Callithrix jacchus: one gene and its partners. The protein of the gene in region 2 interacts with the protein of the main gene of each other region in a pairwise test. Links are inferred from orthologs where the notes say so. Each region holds a gene or a part of one and is shown on either strand. Other genes may lie near its edges.

Evidence for each region.
Region 1: the proteins of NFE2L2 (region 2) and MAFK interact in binary tests that used the Homo sapiens proteins (3 or more experiments, as listed by UniProt). The link is inferred for Callithrix jacchus from reciprocal best matches to the Homo sapiens genes NFE2L2 and MAFK.
Region 3: the proteins of NFE2L2 (region 2) and TNNT1 interact in binary tests that used the Homo sapiens proteins (3 or more experiments, as listed by UniProt). The two-hybrid records come from large-scale screens. The link is inferred for Callithrix jacchus from reciprocal best matches to the Homo sapiens genes NFE2L2 and TNNT1.
Region 4: the proteins of NFE2L2 (region 2) and MAFF interact in binary tests that used the Homo sapiens proteins (3 or more experiments, as listed by UniProt). The link is inferred for Callithrix jacchus from reciprocal best matches to the Homo sapiens genes NFE2L2 and MAFF.

What each region holds. Positions count from the first base shown.
Region 1 is NC_133503.1:57,503,443-57,507,769, forward strand, and holds the start of MAFK (transcription factor MafK), read right to left. Parts: upstream 2,845-4,327; 5' UTR 2,600-2,844; coding exon 2,561-2,599; intron 1-2,560. UniProt on the Homo sapiens protein: Since they lack a putative transactivation domain, the small Mafs behave as transcriptional repressors when they dimerize among themselves.
Region 2 is NC_133507.1:52,139,377-52,142,935, forward strand, and holds part of NFE2L2 (nuclear factor erythroid 2-related factor 2), read left to right. Parts: intron 1-2,592; coding exon 2,593-2,859; intron 2,860-3,479; coding exon 3,480-3,559.
Region 3 is NC_133523.1:48,010,644-48,014,871, reverse strand, and holds the start of TNNT1 (troponin T, slow skeletal muscle), read left to right. Parts: upstream 1-1,427; 5' UTR 1,428-1,479; intron 1,480-4,228. UniProt on the Homo sapiens protein: Troponin T is the tropomyosin-binding subunit of troponin, the thin filament regulatory complex which confers calcium-sensitivity to striated muscle actomyosin ATPase activity.
Region 4 is NC_133502.1:209,188,431-209,192,702, forward strand, and holds the start of MAFF (transcription factor MafF), read left to right. Parts: upstream 1-1,440; 5' UTR 1,441-1,651; intron 1,652-4,272. UniProt on the Homo sapiens protein: Since they lack a putative transactivation domain, the small Mafs behave as transcriptional repressors when they dimerize among themselves.

The DNA of each region.
Region 1 (4,327 bases), on a different chromosome or scaffold from region 2:
CTGCGAGAGTCCCCACGGTCCAGCTTTTCTGGACACAGCCCCCCTCAGCATGCAGGAGGCACCCCGCTTGGCACCCCTAGCTTGGCCCACACCAGCTCGCAGCCTGGTCCTGGCTGGCCGCCCTCCAGCAAGCCACAACTGTCAGACCCACTTGGAGGACGTCTGGTCACCTTGCATTTGTAGTCTGAGGAAGCTGTGTCATCCCACTACATCCAGAGGTGACTCAGGCAGCTGCAGCAGCAGAGAGCAAACTGCAGAACACACCCGCTCCAGTCCCTGCCCTAGCTCCCATACCATCCTCCTGTCCTCGGCCTCTGCTCCCCATCAGCATCCTGTTCTTCCCCAACCGCCCTGGGGCTTTACCCAGCTCCTCCAGCCTCCAAGTACAACCAGGGGCATTTCAGGGGGCCCAGACGCACCCCCCCAGCCCCCAACTGCATCATTCAATGGTGTGGCCCCAACCCTCTCTCCTTTCCTTGTCCACTCACCGACCTGGCTTGATCCCAATCCCCAAGCATTGCCTGCCCGAACCCATGGCACCTGCCCTGGCTCGGGCCTCCAACTTCTCTTGTCTAGACCACAGCTTTGGCCAAATGGGATGCCCTCACCCTGATCCTGGCGCCCCACACGCAGCAACACAGGCTTGGGGTTCCTCCGGAACCCCAACTCCTCCGTCCCAAAGCCATGGCAGGTTTCTGATCCCCCCACCATCTGCACTGAGCACATGGTTCCTGCCCACCCTCAAGCCCTGCTTCTTCCAGAAACACTCTCCATTGTCCTCATGAAGGCAAACACCCTCTACCAAGGCCTGGTTCTAGATCCTTCTGGGGACAGGGGGCCTCCCCACAGCATGGTAAGCTCCTTGAAGTAGGGAGCATGTCTTCCCTACACCCTACACGAGCCCCCGCTGCAAGAGATGAGCCAGCCCCGCACAGGAGGGCAGGGAGAGAGCAGCCTCCACCCCAATACTTTCCCCAACGTGCCCGAAGCACAGCGTGGAGAAGCAGGCAGGCTCTAGACCAGACCCCACCAGCCCTGGGGCCAGGCCAGCAGATGTCACAGCCTGGGTTTCCTCATCTAGAGTGGCCGGTCAGGGTGGGGTGTGTAGCCACTCAGGTTCATGTGTACCTGCTCTAAACTCCGATTTTAAGACGACACTCCCAGTTTCCTGAAACTGCAGGAAAGCGGAAACATGACGAGTCTGTGACTTATAAAAAGCAAAAATAAATAGCAGGGAAAAGCATCTTCCATTCTCGGAGAGCAAGGAGGGTGGGGACGGAGCGGTGAGTCACTGTTTACTGTGGAGAGGCAGCCACACAGAGCGTTCTCCCAGCTGGCCAGATTTCCATTTCCCGTGTGGACTGGACCCGAAACCCAGAAAGTCCACTCCAGAAACCTTTAGACTCAGAAACAGCTGGGACAGGAACAGGCACAACTTCTTCTAGGTCTGGGTGGTAAACAGCTTTTGCCGGTGACTGTAAACAAACGCTGCAGCCATTGGCGAGCCCCGTGGATGAAAGCACGCGCCTTGTAGACACAGAGTGGCCCAACACAGCAGCCTCCCAGGCGCACAGAAAGGCTGGCACCCCGACAGCCCTGACCCTCGGTAAACACTGGCTCCCCCCGTTTACTGGCACCTGGGGAGTCAACAACACTGCAGGGAACCAGCCCCTCAAAGCCCTGGTTGAGTTCAAGGCTAAAAGGCAGGAGAAGCCTGGTTTGTGTTTTTGCTTGAATAAATGGCTTATTTTGGAATAATGAGAGGTCTAGTTTTAAAAGTAGACTCCCTCTACCAAGGTCAAACTCACACATTCCTGCTGGGTTACCTAAGGAGGGGAGACGGTCTCATAAATGGTGCTGATGCCCAAACAGGGTGCAGGTGTGTCCCAGCCACCTGCACAGCCCACCCACACTCTCCAGACCCCACCCACAGCTCTTTTAACACTCCAAGTCCCTGAAGATGCTGGGCTTGGAGAAGCTGCACCATGCACCCCCCTGTCTTGGAGATCCCTTTACAACACACGCTAAAACCTCAACGCCAGTCCAGAAACCTAGAAGCCTACCCTGGAGAATCAGAGGGGCAAGAAGGGCTGTGCCGGAGCCCACACAGATATCCCTATCCCACACAGATATCCCTAACCCACAGTGTCCGGCAGTGGGTGGGAGGTTTGAGTCTCAGGATCTTCCCAAGGCCAGGCACCTGGCCAGAGAGTGGCTGGCTGCCTGTGGGTCACTTGATGAATGAATGGTGCAGTGGATCTGATTTCTGCCTAGGCTACAAAAGCCGCGTTAAGAAGCAAGCAACAGCATGCTCAGGGGCACAGGACCAGAGAGAGGCACACAGGAGGCCCCGAGAACACACCGGGCAAGAGCATGAGAACACAGCACACACAGCTCAAGGCCACTACTGTGCCCCAGGCAGACCCAGGTTAAGGGCCAAGGCCAGGCCAGGTCCTGGCTTTCTGGGTTCCTCGGTGGCACCTCCTCCCACGCCCCCGGATCTAGAGGCTGTGCAGACACACACGCAAGCGCACGCACACACACAGTCACAGGCACATACACAGTTTCCTGAACTTGACAGAGGCACAGAAGAACCCATGCAGTGGGAGCTGGAAGAGGCCTGAGCCCCTGCCCCACAAGTGGGCAAAAGGATACGCGCCTTGGGGCCACTGTCACCTGCCCCCTCTAGCCTCCCGCAAGGTCTTCCTTCCCCCACCCCCCCGCAGGTGGGCGGCTGAGAGCTACACCAGTCCCAGAACCCCGCCTCTGGGGAGACTCGGTTACCCCTAGCCCGTCACCGGGCGCGCGTGGGCCCTGCCATTGGGCCGAAGCGCCGCCAGTCACGAGGAGGAAGCGCGGGAGGCAGGCCAGGGCGCACGCGGAAGCCACGCTGGGGCGGAAGCCGCGGGGAATCCACGCGCCCGCGCCCTCCCCGCGCCGCCCGCACGTGGCGCCCGCCCCGCCCCCCGCAGGTGTGAAGGCGCGGGCCCGGTGCGCGCCCCCTCCCCACGGGGGCCCCCGTTCCCCCAAGTCTGGCGTCCACGCCCCAGGGCCCCGGGCACCACAAGCATGGCCCGGGAGGCACGCTCAGGGGTGGGAGCCTCGCATCCCGGCGCCGGGCCCGGGGAAGCCCCCTTGGCCTGCGGGGCGGGACCCACCTGAGCAGGTGCGCGGGCCGCCCCGTGGGCCGCATAGGAGTCTCGGGCCCTGCGCACCCGGCCCCGCCACCCCCGGCCCGCGCCGGGGGCTACTGTGATTCAGCGGCCAGGAGGCCCGGCCCCGCGACCCCTCCCGGCTGCCCGGCCGCCCCGCCGCCCCTCACCTGGCGTCGCGCGGGTGGCGCGGGCGCGCGGCGGCTCCTCGCGGGCACGCGCTGTCCTCGCGCCGGCGCTCACTCTGGCGCTCCCCTCAGCCGCCGCCGCCGCCTGGCGCTCGGGCTCAGACTTTGCGAAGAACAACAAGCCCCCCCCGCCGCCCGCCGCCACCGCGCCCGCCCTCCCGGTTCCCCAGCATCTGACACCGCTTCCGGGATCCGCGACGCGCACGTCATGCCGCCCCGCCCGCGACCACGCCCCCGGCCACGCCTTCCTCTCCTGCCAGAGGGGGCCTCTGGCCCACCGCGCACCTGCAATCCCCGCGCTTTGAGAGGCCCAGCGGGAGGATCGCTGGAGGCAGGGAGTTCAAGACCAGCCTGGGCAACATAGCGAAACCTCCCTTTCCCTATTCCCCGTCTCTACAAATAAAAAAATTTAAGGCCAGCTGGGCACGGTGGCTCAAGCCTGTAATCCCAGCACTTTGGGAGGCCAAACCAAGAGGATCGCTTGAGCTCAAGAGTTCCAGACCAGCCTAGGCAATATCATGAGACTCCATCTCTACAAAAAAATGGCAAAAATTAGTCGGGTGTGGTGGTATGTGCCTGTAGCCCCAGTTATTCAGGAAGCTGAGGCAGGAGGATGGCTTGAACCTGGAAGGCCGAGGCTGCAGTGAGCCATGATTTTGCCACTGTACTCTAGCCTGGGTGACGTGGTGAGATCCTGTCTCAAAAAACAAAACAGGCAAATCAGTAATGTAAAAATGGGGATGAGTACCGGGCGCAGTGGCTCATGCCTGTAATCCCAGCACTTTGGGAGGCCAAGGCGGGCAGATCACGAGGTCAAGAGCTCGAGACCATCCTGGTCAACATGGTGAAACCCCATCTCTACTAAAAATACAAAAATTAGCTGGGCGTGGTGGTGCGCGCCTGTAGTCCCAGCTATTCTCGAGGCTGAGGCAGGAGTATTGCTTGAACCCAGGAGGTGGAGGTTGCAGTCAGCCGAGATCACACCTC
Region 2 (3,559 bases):
AACATAATATACAAATAAAATACAGTATAACAGCTACTTACATAGCATTTATACTTTATTAGGTATTGTAATCCAGAGATGATTTAAAGTTTGTAAGGGGATGTGCATAGGTTACATGCAAATGCTATGCCATTTTATGTTAGTGTAGGCTCATGGCTAATAAAGCATGAACCCGAGTGAAGCTGCCAGGCTGTGTGTCCTTGTTCAGCCGCTTTCTGGTAGTATCTCTTCTTTCTAAACCTCAGTATTCTTATACCGTAAAACAGGCATGTTTTATCTGTATAAGGCTGTTTTAAGGAATAGTTTTTATATGTAAAGTACTTAGAACAGTGCATGGCATATAGGAAGCCCTTAATAGACACTGGCTTAAAAATAACTAGGTGTATCCTATCGAGGTATACCTGACTACTAACTATGCTTACTCTGTGTGCTTTACACTATATATTGTTGAAGGCTAGAATAATGAGGAGCCCCATGAGCAGGGTTTCATAGCATTTAAGATTCCAACACCAACCTTCAGGCATGGGTACAGGTGGCCTGTGCCATCCAGCTAGCTGTGCTGCCTCCAGGCTGGGTGGCCTGCTGCTCCTCTGTTGGATAAAAATAGCCTGACTCCTCACTGAAACAACCACCATGTTATTTGTGTCCTTGGGAAGATGAAAGTCATAGAGCTGTAAGCCTGGCGTTGCCAGCTGTCAGCAGAACTGAAATACAAAGTGTGACATGTATCCACACAGTGTCCACTGGCCTTCAGGTCCCAACTGCCATTCCCTCATCTTGATTTTTTTCCATTCTCGAATTCATTATTTCCCCTATAGGTGATTTGTGAAATGGAAACAGATTTAGATTTCCTACCTATTTAGATTTTTCCAAAGACTAAATTTTGGAAATTTAGAATTTCCAAAAATTACAAATCAGAAAAACTGCTATTGACACATACGTGGTTAAGAAATTCTGGATGTGGTTCCTATGCCTAGCCTAGTCATATGAATTCTCTCCCCGTGTATCTTTTTTTGTATGTGAAACAGGGTCTTGCTTGTCACCCAGGCTGCTGGTGCGCAGTGGTGCAATGCTCACCATGGCCTTGACTTCCTGGGCTCAAGTGATCCTCTCACTTCAGCCTCCCTAGTATTTGGGACTATAGGTGCACACCACCACGTGCAACTAATTTGTTTTGGTTTTTAGTAGACACAGGTGTCACTATGGTGCCCAGGCTAAGGTCAAACTCCTGGGCTCCAGCAATCCTCCTGCCTCGGCCTCCCAAACTCCTAGGAGGAGGAGGAATAAGTCACCAAGCCCAGACTCTCCTCATGTATCTTTTACTAAATCAAAACCTTCACTCTTTGTAAGAGTCTTCCTGTATCTTAAAACTTAATACTTTTGATCCTTCCCTGGAGCCAGGGTTTTATTTATTTATTTTTGAGACAGGGTCTCACTTTATTGCCCAGGTTGGAGTGCAGTGGGTGATCATGGCTCACTGCAGCCTCAACCTCCTGGACTCAAGTGATCCTCCCACCTCAGCCTCATGAGTAGCTGGGACTACAGGTGTGCGCCACCACACTTGTTTCTCCTCTCCCCCGCATTGGTAGAAATAGGGTCTCTTTATATTACCCAGGCTGGTCTCGAACTCCTTAGATGAAGCAATCCATTCCTCCTCAGCCTCCCAAAGTGCTGGGCTTGCAGGGCATGAACCACCGCAACTGTCCCTTTTTTTTTTCATCTCTGAGATGGAGTCTTGCTCTGTCACCCAGGCTGGAGCACAGTGGTGTGATCTCGGCTCACCGAAACCTCCGCCTCCTGGGTTCAAGCAATTCTTCTGCCTCAGCTTCCCGAGTAGCTGGGACTACACGCGTGCACCACCATGCCCAGCTAACTTTTGTAAAGAGGATTATTGATAATTCTCAGGAAGGAAGCTAGTGGGGTCTCATCCCTTTCTCAACTTTTTGTTAAGCAGTAGACAACCCTAGTCTTAAACTTTTTCATGTCTCAACTAAAACTCAAGTCAAAAAGGAAGTTATTTAATAGGTGAGCCACAGAGATAAGAGTAGCAAGCAGTGATGGGAGAAGATAATCTAGTGTAGGAAAGATGGAAAGAATGGTGATATTTCACAACTGCTAGATTGACACTTTTTAACTTGGGAGTTACCCCTCTATAAACTGGATATTTTCTGAGCAAAGTTTAAAGAAAACTCTATGTATTTACTCAGTAGAGTTTTCCAAACCCTACTTCTCATAAGCCAGTGGCTTAGCATGCTTGCTCTAATTTCTATTTTCCATTAAACAAGAGTGGAATTTCTTTTAATTCAAACCATTTGTGACTTTGCCCTTTAGTGACCTCTACCATCACCCAGTCATTAATGATCCAAGTGATAGAATGGATGACTATGTGTTTGTAGGTTGTTTGTTGTCTTTAATGAATAGATTCATTGAATGGAATTAACTGTGCTCTTCTAGAACATTGGACCTATGTTCTCATTTAGATTGTATTTGTCATTTCCCCACCATCAACAGTGGCATAATGTGAATTAATTTATGTGGTATCTGCCATCTTAACCATGGTCTCTCTCCTTCCTCTTTTTGTTTTAAACATAGGACATGGATTTGATTGACATACTTTGGAGGCAAGATATAGATCTTGGGGTAAGTCGAGAAGTATTTGACTTCAGTCAGCGACGGAAAGAGTATGAGCTGGAAAAACAGAAAAAACTTGAAAAGGAAAGACAAGAACAACTCCAAAAGGAGCAAGAGAAAGCCTTTTTCGCTCAATTACAACTAGATGAAGAGACAGGTGAATTTCTCCCAATTCAGCCAGCCCAGCACATCCAGTCAGAAACCAGTGGATCTGCCAACTACTCCCAGGTACAGAGTACTCAGTTCTTGGGAAAGTTATGGCAGGGTTTAAGTAAAGACTGACCAAGGAATTAAACTATCTGGATTTGCATTCCAGCTTTGCCTTTCGCTGTGTCTTTTATTTACTTTGTCAAATCTACTTTTGAGTTCACTACCCAAACCTACTAATCTTACAAAGTTATTGTGAGGATTAGGAGGACATGAGTTACAAGAAAGAGTTTTGTAAAGTTCAGAAACCTCCTATAAGGATCAAGTAGCAGCAACAGAAGCAGTGGCAGTAGAACCAAGTAATAGGGATTACTTACAGTACTGCGGCAAGCACTGTTTTAAGAACTTAACATATACTGACTGATTTAATCAACACAACTGTATGAATTAGGTACCATTATCCCTATTTTATCTACGATGAGCAACTGAAGCTCAAAAAGGTTAATTTGCCCAGATCACTCAGAAAATTGGAGGAGCTAAGATTTGAACCCAGGTGGTCTGGTTCAAATTGTGCCCTGAGGTGATCTCTGAAATAAGATATTTACTTGATTATAAACATTTTATGAACATCAATTATGAATATTTAGCTTGGCAATGGAATAATCATTTTTGTCTTCTTTTGTGTTACTCCCTTTTATCAGGCTGCCCACATTCCCAAATCAGATGCTTTGTACTTCGATGACTGCATGCAGCTTTTGGCGCAGACATTCCCGTTTGTAGA
Region 3 (4,228 bases), on a different chromosome or scaffold from region 2:
CACCTAGGCGTGATTATATGGATGGGTTTTAAGCCCTCGGACGTTGGAGGGATTGCCAGCCTGAGGCCAGCTTTCCACAAGAACTCTGCACAAGATACTACAACTCCCTTTCAGGAGGAGTGACTCTTGCTGCAAGCCTGCCATACAGCGGGTGTCATTACCATACCCGAACGCTGCCACCTGGGCAGACCTGCCACGTAGCGCTTGCCCTTTCAGGCAGGGGCTCTACCGCCTGGGTCATTGATTCTTGTCCTGGTGTGGCTGTTTTTCCCTAGTTCATGCTCTGCAGTGTGTCTGCTCTAGACATTCCTCCAACTACAAACTAAGGCATGATTATCTATGAAGAGATTATATATAAAAGGAAATAAGTGAGGAGTGAGCAGTAAGATATTCTTCAGGCACTAATCGTGCCGGGGGTCTGCTTAGCTCTCCTTCCTTGGTGCCCAGAAAGGGGTTACCCACACAGATATGGGGTCTCAGGTGGACAGAAATGCACAGAGAGACTGTGAGCCCCCACAGACACAAACGCAGAGAGGGGCAGACATGCAGAGACAAAACCACCTGGAGACATTTGCCAAGAAACACACTGAGGGTCACGGAAAGAGACAGATTCAGAGACAGCCCAAGACAGAGAGCCAGCGAGGGACCCCAGAAAATGCATAGAAACACACAAAGACTGATACCACAGGAGACAGACACTGAGAGGCGTGAAGGGTGAGGAAGTCTGCTCTCCAGGGCTGGTTGAACCTGGAGTTCAAGGTCGTGGCTTGGCTGGGAAGAGGGAGGGGGATGCCAAAAAAGATCAGTGTCAGATGGACGGGGGGAGAGAGGGTAGGTTTCCACCCTAATTGACACCCCATCCTCCCCTCCCCTCCCCCCAACACCTGCTTCCTGGCTTTAGTGCCTGTTGTCACAAGTATGGAATCCTGGTGGCAGACAAAGGGGTGGGGGTGGGGAGACAGAAAGATGGACAGACACAGGGGGAGACTAAGCAGCAGAGACAGACATATAGAGATACACAGATGGAGAGCCACAGAGACCACAGAAACGGGTCCAGAAAGAGGGAACAGAGAGGAAAACTGGAAACATTCCTTATAGCCTTTTTGTCATTAGTAGGTTCTCCAAGGACCTACTGTGTGCTGGACGTTGGGACATCAAATGCAGGGAGGCAGCTATAAGGGAGGTAGCTGGAGCACCGTGGGGGCCTGGGGCTGGGGGTGGGAGCAGGGCTCCAGGGCCCCGCTGATGGGGTTGGGGAGGAGCCCACGGAGGCATTTGGACCCTTAGTTTGAAAAACGAGAGGAACAGCAGGGCTGTCTCTGAGCTCCCAGACTTGTGTTTGAGCAAAGGAATTCTCTCCTCCTCCCTCTCCCCTCGGGGCGGGGCCCAGCCTCCAGCTATAAAACCCCTGGAGCTTCAGTGCCCGTGGTGAGGCTCAGCCACAAGATTCACAGGATCTCAGACGCAGCCTAGGTATAGGTAAGGGGCTCTGCTGGGCCCTGTGATCTCCACGGACGGTGTCCTTGGGAGAGGGGGCAGGAGGCAGGTGGGGAAGATGTGGGGTGTGGAGAAATCATGCAGAGGTACATGGGGAATACAACTGGAGGTCTCGGAACTTGAGAGGCTCGGACTTTAGGGGGACTTGGGATAGAGGGGAAAATATTAGGATTTGTGGGTTACAGAGATCCTAGTCTGGGGCTGCCAGGACTTGGGTGTCCCAGAATAAAACCACCTAGATCTTGGGGTTCTGGGGGTCTTGGGGGAAAGCTCAGAAGTCAGGGACATCTGGACTTGGAGGTCAAACAGTCTGGGTATCAGGATTTGGGGCTCAGACTCTGAGGGTATCAGGAATTGGGGCGGGGTCTCAGAATCTGGGGTTTTAGGAGTGGAAGCCTCAGAATCTGAGGTTTAGGATAGAAACCATCACCACCTGGAGTGTCATTATCTGGGGCGTCATCATTTGGGCCTCCGAGTTTGGGTATCAAGGTTTTGGGGGGGTCTCATATTCTCGAGGCTTCAGAATTTAGGAGGTCTTAGGATGTCCTGGCCCATATGTGGACCATCAGGAAATGGGCTGTCAGAATCTGGAGCTGTGAGGACTTGTGGTCTCAGAAACACAGGCACCAAAAATCCAGGTCTCAGAATCCATGGGTATTGGGATTTGGGGATGGGCACCCTGTGGCCTAGGATGTCTTGAAGACTTCGGGGTCTAAGAATGTAGGGGTCAGAGTGAGGTCTGTGGACAGAAGGTGCCCTTTGGGCGCTGCCCCAACCCCCCCGCCCCGTGTGATGTATGGGAAGGTGAAAGGGGAGACAGGTGGGGAGGAAAGCAGCCAGCGGGAGGGGTGGGTGGGAGAGGGATGCAGGTGACCAGCTCTCCCAGAAGCCCCCCTTCCTCAAATCCCTTCTTAGGAAATGTCCTCTGTTTCACCATCTACGACATCCCCCCAAAATAGCTCCTGGGGGTGGGGCAGCTATTGTCTTCAGGCCACTGTCCCTTCTCAAATGCCTCCTCCTAATCCCAGCTGGATCAGGTTCCCATGGGCTTGTCATAAGACAAAAGAGAACAGCTGTGCTGAGGGGGGCAGGGTCTGCAGCCTCCGGGCTGTGCCTCAGACCACACCTACCAGGGCCTGTCCTCCTGAGACAGCCAGGAGTCCAGACCCCGGCCTCTCCCGCCTCGGAGCCAGGAGTGCAGACCCCAGCCCCTCCCCCCTCGGACCCAGGAGTGCAGACCCCAGCCTCTCCCGCCTCGGACCCAGGAGTGCAGACCCCAGCCTCTCCCCCTTCGGACCCAGGAGTGCAGACTCCAGCCCCTCCCCCCTCGGACCCAGGAGTCCAGACCCCAGCCTCTCCCGCCTCGGACCCAGGAGTGCAGACCCCAGCCCCTCCCCCCTCGGAGCCAGGAGTCCAGACCCCAGCCCCTCCCGCCTCGGACCCAGGAGTCCAGACCCCAGCCCCTCCCCCCTCGGACCCAGGAGTGCAGACCCCAGCCCCTCCCCCCTCGGACCCAGGAGTGCAGACCCCAGCCTCTCCCGCCTCGGACCCAGGAGTGCAGACCCCAGCCCCTCCCCCTCGGACCCAGGAGTGCAGACCCCAGCCCCTCCCCCTCGGACCCAGGAGTGCAGACCCCAGCCTCTCCCGCCTCGGACCCAGGAGTGCAGACCCCAGCCTCTCCCCCTTCGGACCCAGGAGTGCAGACCCCAGCCCCTCCCCCCTCGGAGCCAGGAGTCCAGACCCCAGCCCCTCCCGCCTCGGACCCAGGAGTCCAGACCCCAGCCCCTCCCCCCTCGGACCCAGGAGTGCAGACCCCAGCCCCTCCCCCCTCGGACCCAGGAGTGCAGACCCCAGCCTCTCCCGCCTCGGACCCAGGAGTGCAGACCCCAGCCCCTCCCCCTCGGACCCAGGAGTGCAGACCCCAGCCCCTCCCCCTCGGACCCAGGAGTGCAGACCCCAGCCTCTCCCGCCTCGGACCCAGGAGTGCAGACCCCAGCCTCTCCCGCCTCGGAGCCAGGAGTGCAGACCCCAGCCTCTCCCCCCTCGGACCCAGGAGTGCAGACCCCAGCCTCTCCCGCCTCGGAGCCAGGAGTGCAGACCCCAGCCCCTCCCCACTCGGACCCAGGAGTGCAGATCCCAGCCCCTCCTCCCTCGGACCCAGGAGTCCAGGCCGCAGCCCCTCCTCCCTCAGACCCAGGAGTGCAGACCCCAGCCCCTCCTCCCTCGGACCCAGGAATCCAGAGCCCAGCTCCTCCTCCCTCGGACCCAGGAGTCCAGACCCCAGTCCCTCCTCCCTCGGACCCAGGAGTCCAGACCCTCAGCGCCTCCTCCCTGGGACCCAGGGGTCCAGACCCCAGCCCCTCCTCCCTCGGACCCAGGAATCCAGACCCCAGCCCCTCCTCCCTCGGACCCAGGAGTCCAGACCCCAGCCCCTCCTCCCTCAGACCCAGGAGTCCAGACCCTCAGCGCCTCCTCCCTCGGACCCAGGAGTCCAGACCCCAGCCTCTCCCCCCTCAGACCCAGGAGTGCAGACTCCAGCCTCTCCCTCCTCGGACCCAGGAGTGCAGACCCCAGTCCCTCCTCCCTCGGACCCAGGGGTCCAGACCCCAGCCCCTCCTCCCTCAGACGCAGGAGTCCAGGCCGCAGCCCCTCCTCCCTCGGACCCAGGTGTCCAGACCCCAGCCCCTCCTCCCTCAGACCCAGGAGTCCAGGCCCCCAGCGCCTCCCCCCT
Region 4 (4,272 bases), on a different chromosome or scaffold from region 2:
CAGAGGAAGGAAAGCAAGATAAGGGCTCTGAAATCGAATTCGCCATGTCAAGGAAAGTGGGGATCCTTGCTGGTGATCAGGGTGCCACACAGAGGCCTCCCATTTGGAGAGGTCCTATGCCCTCCACAGTGGAATAAGTGCCATGATGTCAATTTCACAGGAGAGGCTGTGGGAGCGATGGAATTTCAGGCAGTGAGAACATCATGAGAAAAGGAAAGGGGGGGATGAATGGCAACGTCTATCCCCCATGTGGCTTCCAAAGCCATCTCTTTTGGGTGGGGCTTCCCATCACAGCATGCATCCCTCATGTTTATGTGGCCCTCCTCCCCTGATTGTGATGTACCCCCCAAAGTAAGCTGAGACTGTGCCACTGCACTCCAGCCTGGGTGACAGAGTGAGACCCTGTCTCAAAAACAATAAGAAAACAAAACAAAACAACAACAAAAAATTCAGAGGTGAAGATTGCTTTAACCAGGGTGATCAGAAAGGTCTCTCTGAGGCAGTGACATCTGAGCTGACCTGAAAGATGAGAAAGAGGCAGGCCAGTGAACAGAAGAGACAGCCAGTGCCAAGGGCCTGTGGCAAGAATGGGCTTAGTATGTTTGGGGGACAGAAAGAAGGGTACTGTGGCTGAAGAGTGGTGGATGAGGAGAGACTGGCCAGAGGAGGTGTGTAAACAACCTGAGCTTTCTTTTGAGAAGAACATTGCCTGGTGTAGGAAGACAGACTTTGGAGGCAAAGTAGGGAGCCTGTCTATCCAGAGGCTGCTGCCACTGTCCGGGTGAGCTGATGGTGCCAGGACCAAGTGGCAGGACTGGAGGTGGTGAGAAGTGGTCCTATGCAGGAGACCCAGAAACACCGCTAGAGTTCTCAGGTGGGGAGGAAGTGAAAGTGAGGGATGGAGCCAGGATCCCAGGTTCTGGCTTGAACAGCTGAGATCGGGTGGTAGGGAGCGGAGTTAACTGACCATCAGGTGCAGGCTTTGGGCCGAGTCGTTTGCAGTCGTCTCCCATCTGACACCCACTGGAGACGCAGACTGGGTTGCTGGCTATGAGTCTGGAACTCAGAGAAGCTGTTCGCTCTGGAAATACAAACCTGGGACTTACAGCCACGTAGATGACATTTAAAGACACGAACTGGATGAGATGAGATCATTAAGGCAGAAGCTGTAGGTCGAAAGAAGAGGTCCAGGACCCCTGACTGTAAAATGAACCAATGACACCTCCACCCACCGGGCTCTCGCGAGGTGTCACGTGAACGAACCCAGCAAAGGCTGGAACCGGGCAGAGAATCGCTGCGGCCCTGGGGGCGGGGCATCCGGGGGCGGGGTCAGAAGGGGCGGGGCCGAGGGACCAGGCGGCCGCTCCGGGCCGGAGGGCGGCCGGGGCGGTGACGTCACCGCATGACTGGGTTTTTATGAATGAAAGGAATCCTGTGAGTGAGTAATTCCGGGAAGCTCGCTTTACAACTCCGCGCTGCCTCGGCCCCCTGCGCCGCCCGCCCCACAACAAAACTCTGCGCAGCGCTCCCGGGCGCCCGGTTCAGAGCGACCTGCGGCTCAGAGCGGAGGGGAGACGGACCAGAGCGCGGGCCGGGACAGCCGAGAGACGCGCGCGTGCGAGCGCGCCGGGCCAGGCGGGCCCAGAGGCGGGTGAGGAACGCGGGGCCAGGAGGACGGTGCGCGGGACCCCGAAGCGGCAGGGTTTCCGCGCCCCGGGACGCGCCTGAAGCGGGCGCCCGGGCCGGATCCGTCGGGGCTCCAGGGACTCCGTCACTCATCGGACGGCTGGGGGCGGGAGAGGGGAGCGGCCGTCCCGGGGACGCCGAGACGGGGCCGAGGCCAGCTCGGCGGAGTGGGGGTGGAGACGGGGCCCCTTCCCGGGGAGCGGGCGGGGAGGCGGCGGCGCCGGGGAGGAAGGGGCAGCGCAGGCTGGCGATCTCCGCGTCCGCCCGGCGGGGGCGGGGGCGCTGTGCTCCTACGTGACTCGGTGGGAACAGGCCCTGGCCCGGCGCCCGCGGGCGGTGCGTGCGCGGTTTGTTTACGTCCGAGGGCGGGCGGACGTGTGTTCCCTGGCGGGAGGCCTGGGTGTCCTGCCCGGTGCGTGCGTCCGCGGTGTACTTCGGGGGGCGCGTGTGCGTGTGTTGTGTTGTGTTGTGTTGCGCGTGTGCTTGTGTGTGCGTGTCCGCGCGCGCGCTCCCTGGGGCCTGTACACCAGCAGTGTGTACCTCGGAGAGGGCGTGCCCTGGGCTCTCCACAGGAGTAAACGCGGAACAAGGACCCGAGCGAAGGAAACGGACCCGTGCTTCTTCACGCCGGGTGTGCGAATTCTGGCCGCGGCCGCCCGAGTCCTACTACCCAGGGATGCCCGGCCTGCCGCGCTCCTCGGAGTTTCCCAGGGCCTCCACCACGTGACCCGAGTGTTTGTCCCCCGCCCAGAGCCGGCGCCTGCAGCCACAGGGTGGGGCAAGGTATCGAAGACCTCACCCAGCTGAGCTAGAAGTGAGGGGTGTGAGCCACTCCCTGCTTGGCACCCTAGTGGATCTGGTAACGAAGTGAGTTGGAGCCCAGGTTCTTGTCCCCAGATTTTGGGGCTCCTTGGGAAGGGATGACCCAACATAGTGTCTTTCCTCCCCAGGGTTTTGCATCTCCTCAGTCCCATTAGAACAGGAAGGGCTAGAAAACAGTCTGCAAAGCTCGGGGGCAGGGAGAGGACCCCAGGCTTTCTCGATAGTCCAGGTTCCAGAGGCTGTACTTACTAGGTCTCGGAGGATGGGGTAGAGCCGGTTTCGCCCTCCTGGTAGCTTCGGTTCACCAGTGGGACTAGTGAGACTAGACTGACCTACAGCTAGACGCGGGAAGCTAGCTGAGGCTCTGAACCAGAGGCGAGTCCTCACCCTTGGCCAGGCAGGGTCAGCAGGCAGTGGGGACAGGCCTCTGACTGCAGGAAGGGTTAATGAGTGAGGGATGGGGCCTGACCTAGCTGCCACCTACCCACTCACCCAGTAACCCTGTAGAAAGCACCTGTTTAGTGTGGCAGCCTGCAGGATGGGCTGGTCTTAATCCACCTTCCCCCTCCACCCACCCACAGGTCTACAGAATCATGGGAGGGGGGCAGTTGGGCTTGCCAGGGTGAGGAACCAATGATCTTTTGACTTTGGATCTTTGAACCCTGGTGAGCTCTGCTACAGCAACCAGGACCCTCAATGTCCCCATCTGCCACTGGAACTAGGTAATAGCCAGGGTGGCAGGGTGGTGGGTAGGAGGGGGAAGCTCTGGAAGTCTCTGCAGACAGCGTACTTTCCAGGGGAACTGTGGAAGAGAAAGCAGAGCTGACAGCAGACAGCTGAGGGTACCCAAGAGTAGGTGGGGTTTGAGTCAGGGGGTTTGGGCCAGGAGTACAGGAACCAGTCAGGCCCACTCTCAAAGCTGGGCAGGAAACATTCCAAAGTAGGGCCAGGGGTCAGGGGATGAGGGGAAGTGGCTGGCTGACTCAGTCCCAGATGGAAAGTTAGCACTGAGAGGTTTAACCTCCCATTCAGTCACCCCTGGGCCCTGCATTGCCGTTGGGCCCCTGTCCTGGACCAGATGCCGGGGATGATTTGAACAGACCAGATCCAGAGACTGCCCTCTGGGAGCGTACAGCTGAGCAGGGGACATAGAGTTGAAAAAAGATCCACAGAAGTAGATGCAAAACACAGCTGGGATGGATGATGTGAGGGAGAAGTGACCGTGGTTTGAAAGTACGTAACAGCGCTCTGACTTAGCCAGGGCAATCAAGGAAGGCTTCCCTGGGGAGGTGACTAGTGAGCTGAGTCTGATAGAGTGGTGGTTGTCTGTGAAGCCCTTGAAGGCAGGACTGTGACTCATTTTAGGGTGTCCAGGGCCCAGCCTGGACCACAGTAGGTGCTTCTTGGATGTCTGCTGATTGAATGAATGAGCCCTGGGTCCCTGACCTTGAAGAGCTCCACAACACATGGAGAAAAAGGCCTGGGAACCCCAGAGAAACAGGAGCCGGAGCTGGGGCTGGAGGAATCTTGAAGCAGTCTCCCAAAAGCGAGTAGATCCTTCAGGGCTCAGGAGACTTCCTCCCTGATGCACACAGGCATGCACTGCCCAGCTGTCCCTTTGGGAAGCATTCAGGGATAGCAGAACTGGCTGTCTGTTCATTCGTTTGCATGTGATCCTGGGAGAGAGTGGACAGGAACATGGCTGAGGCCTGAGGGCCCTACTGTGTGGGCTCACGGGAGGCTGGCATTGCAGGGCTTTGAAAT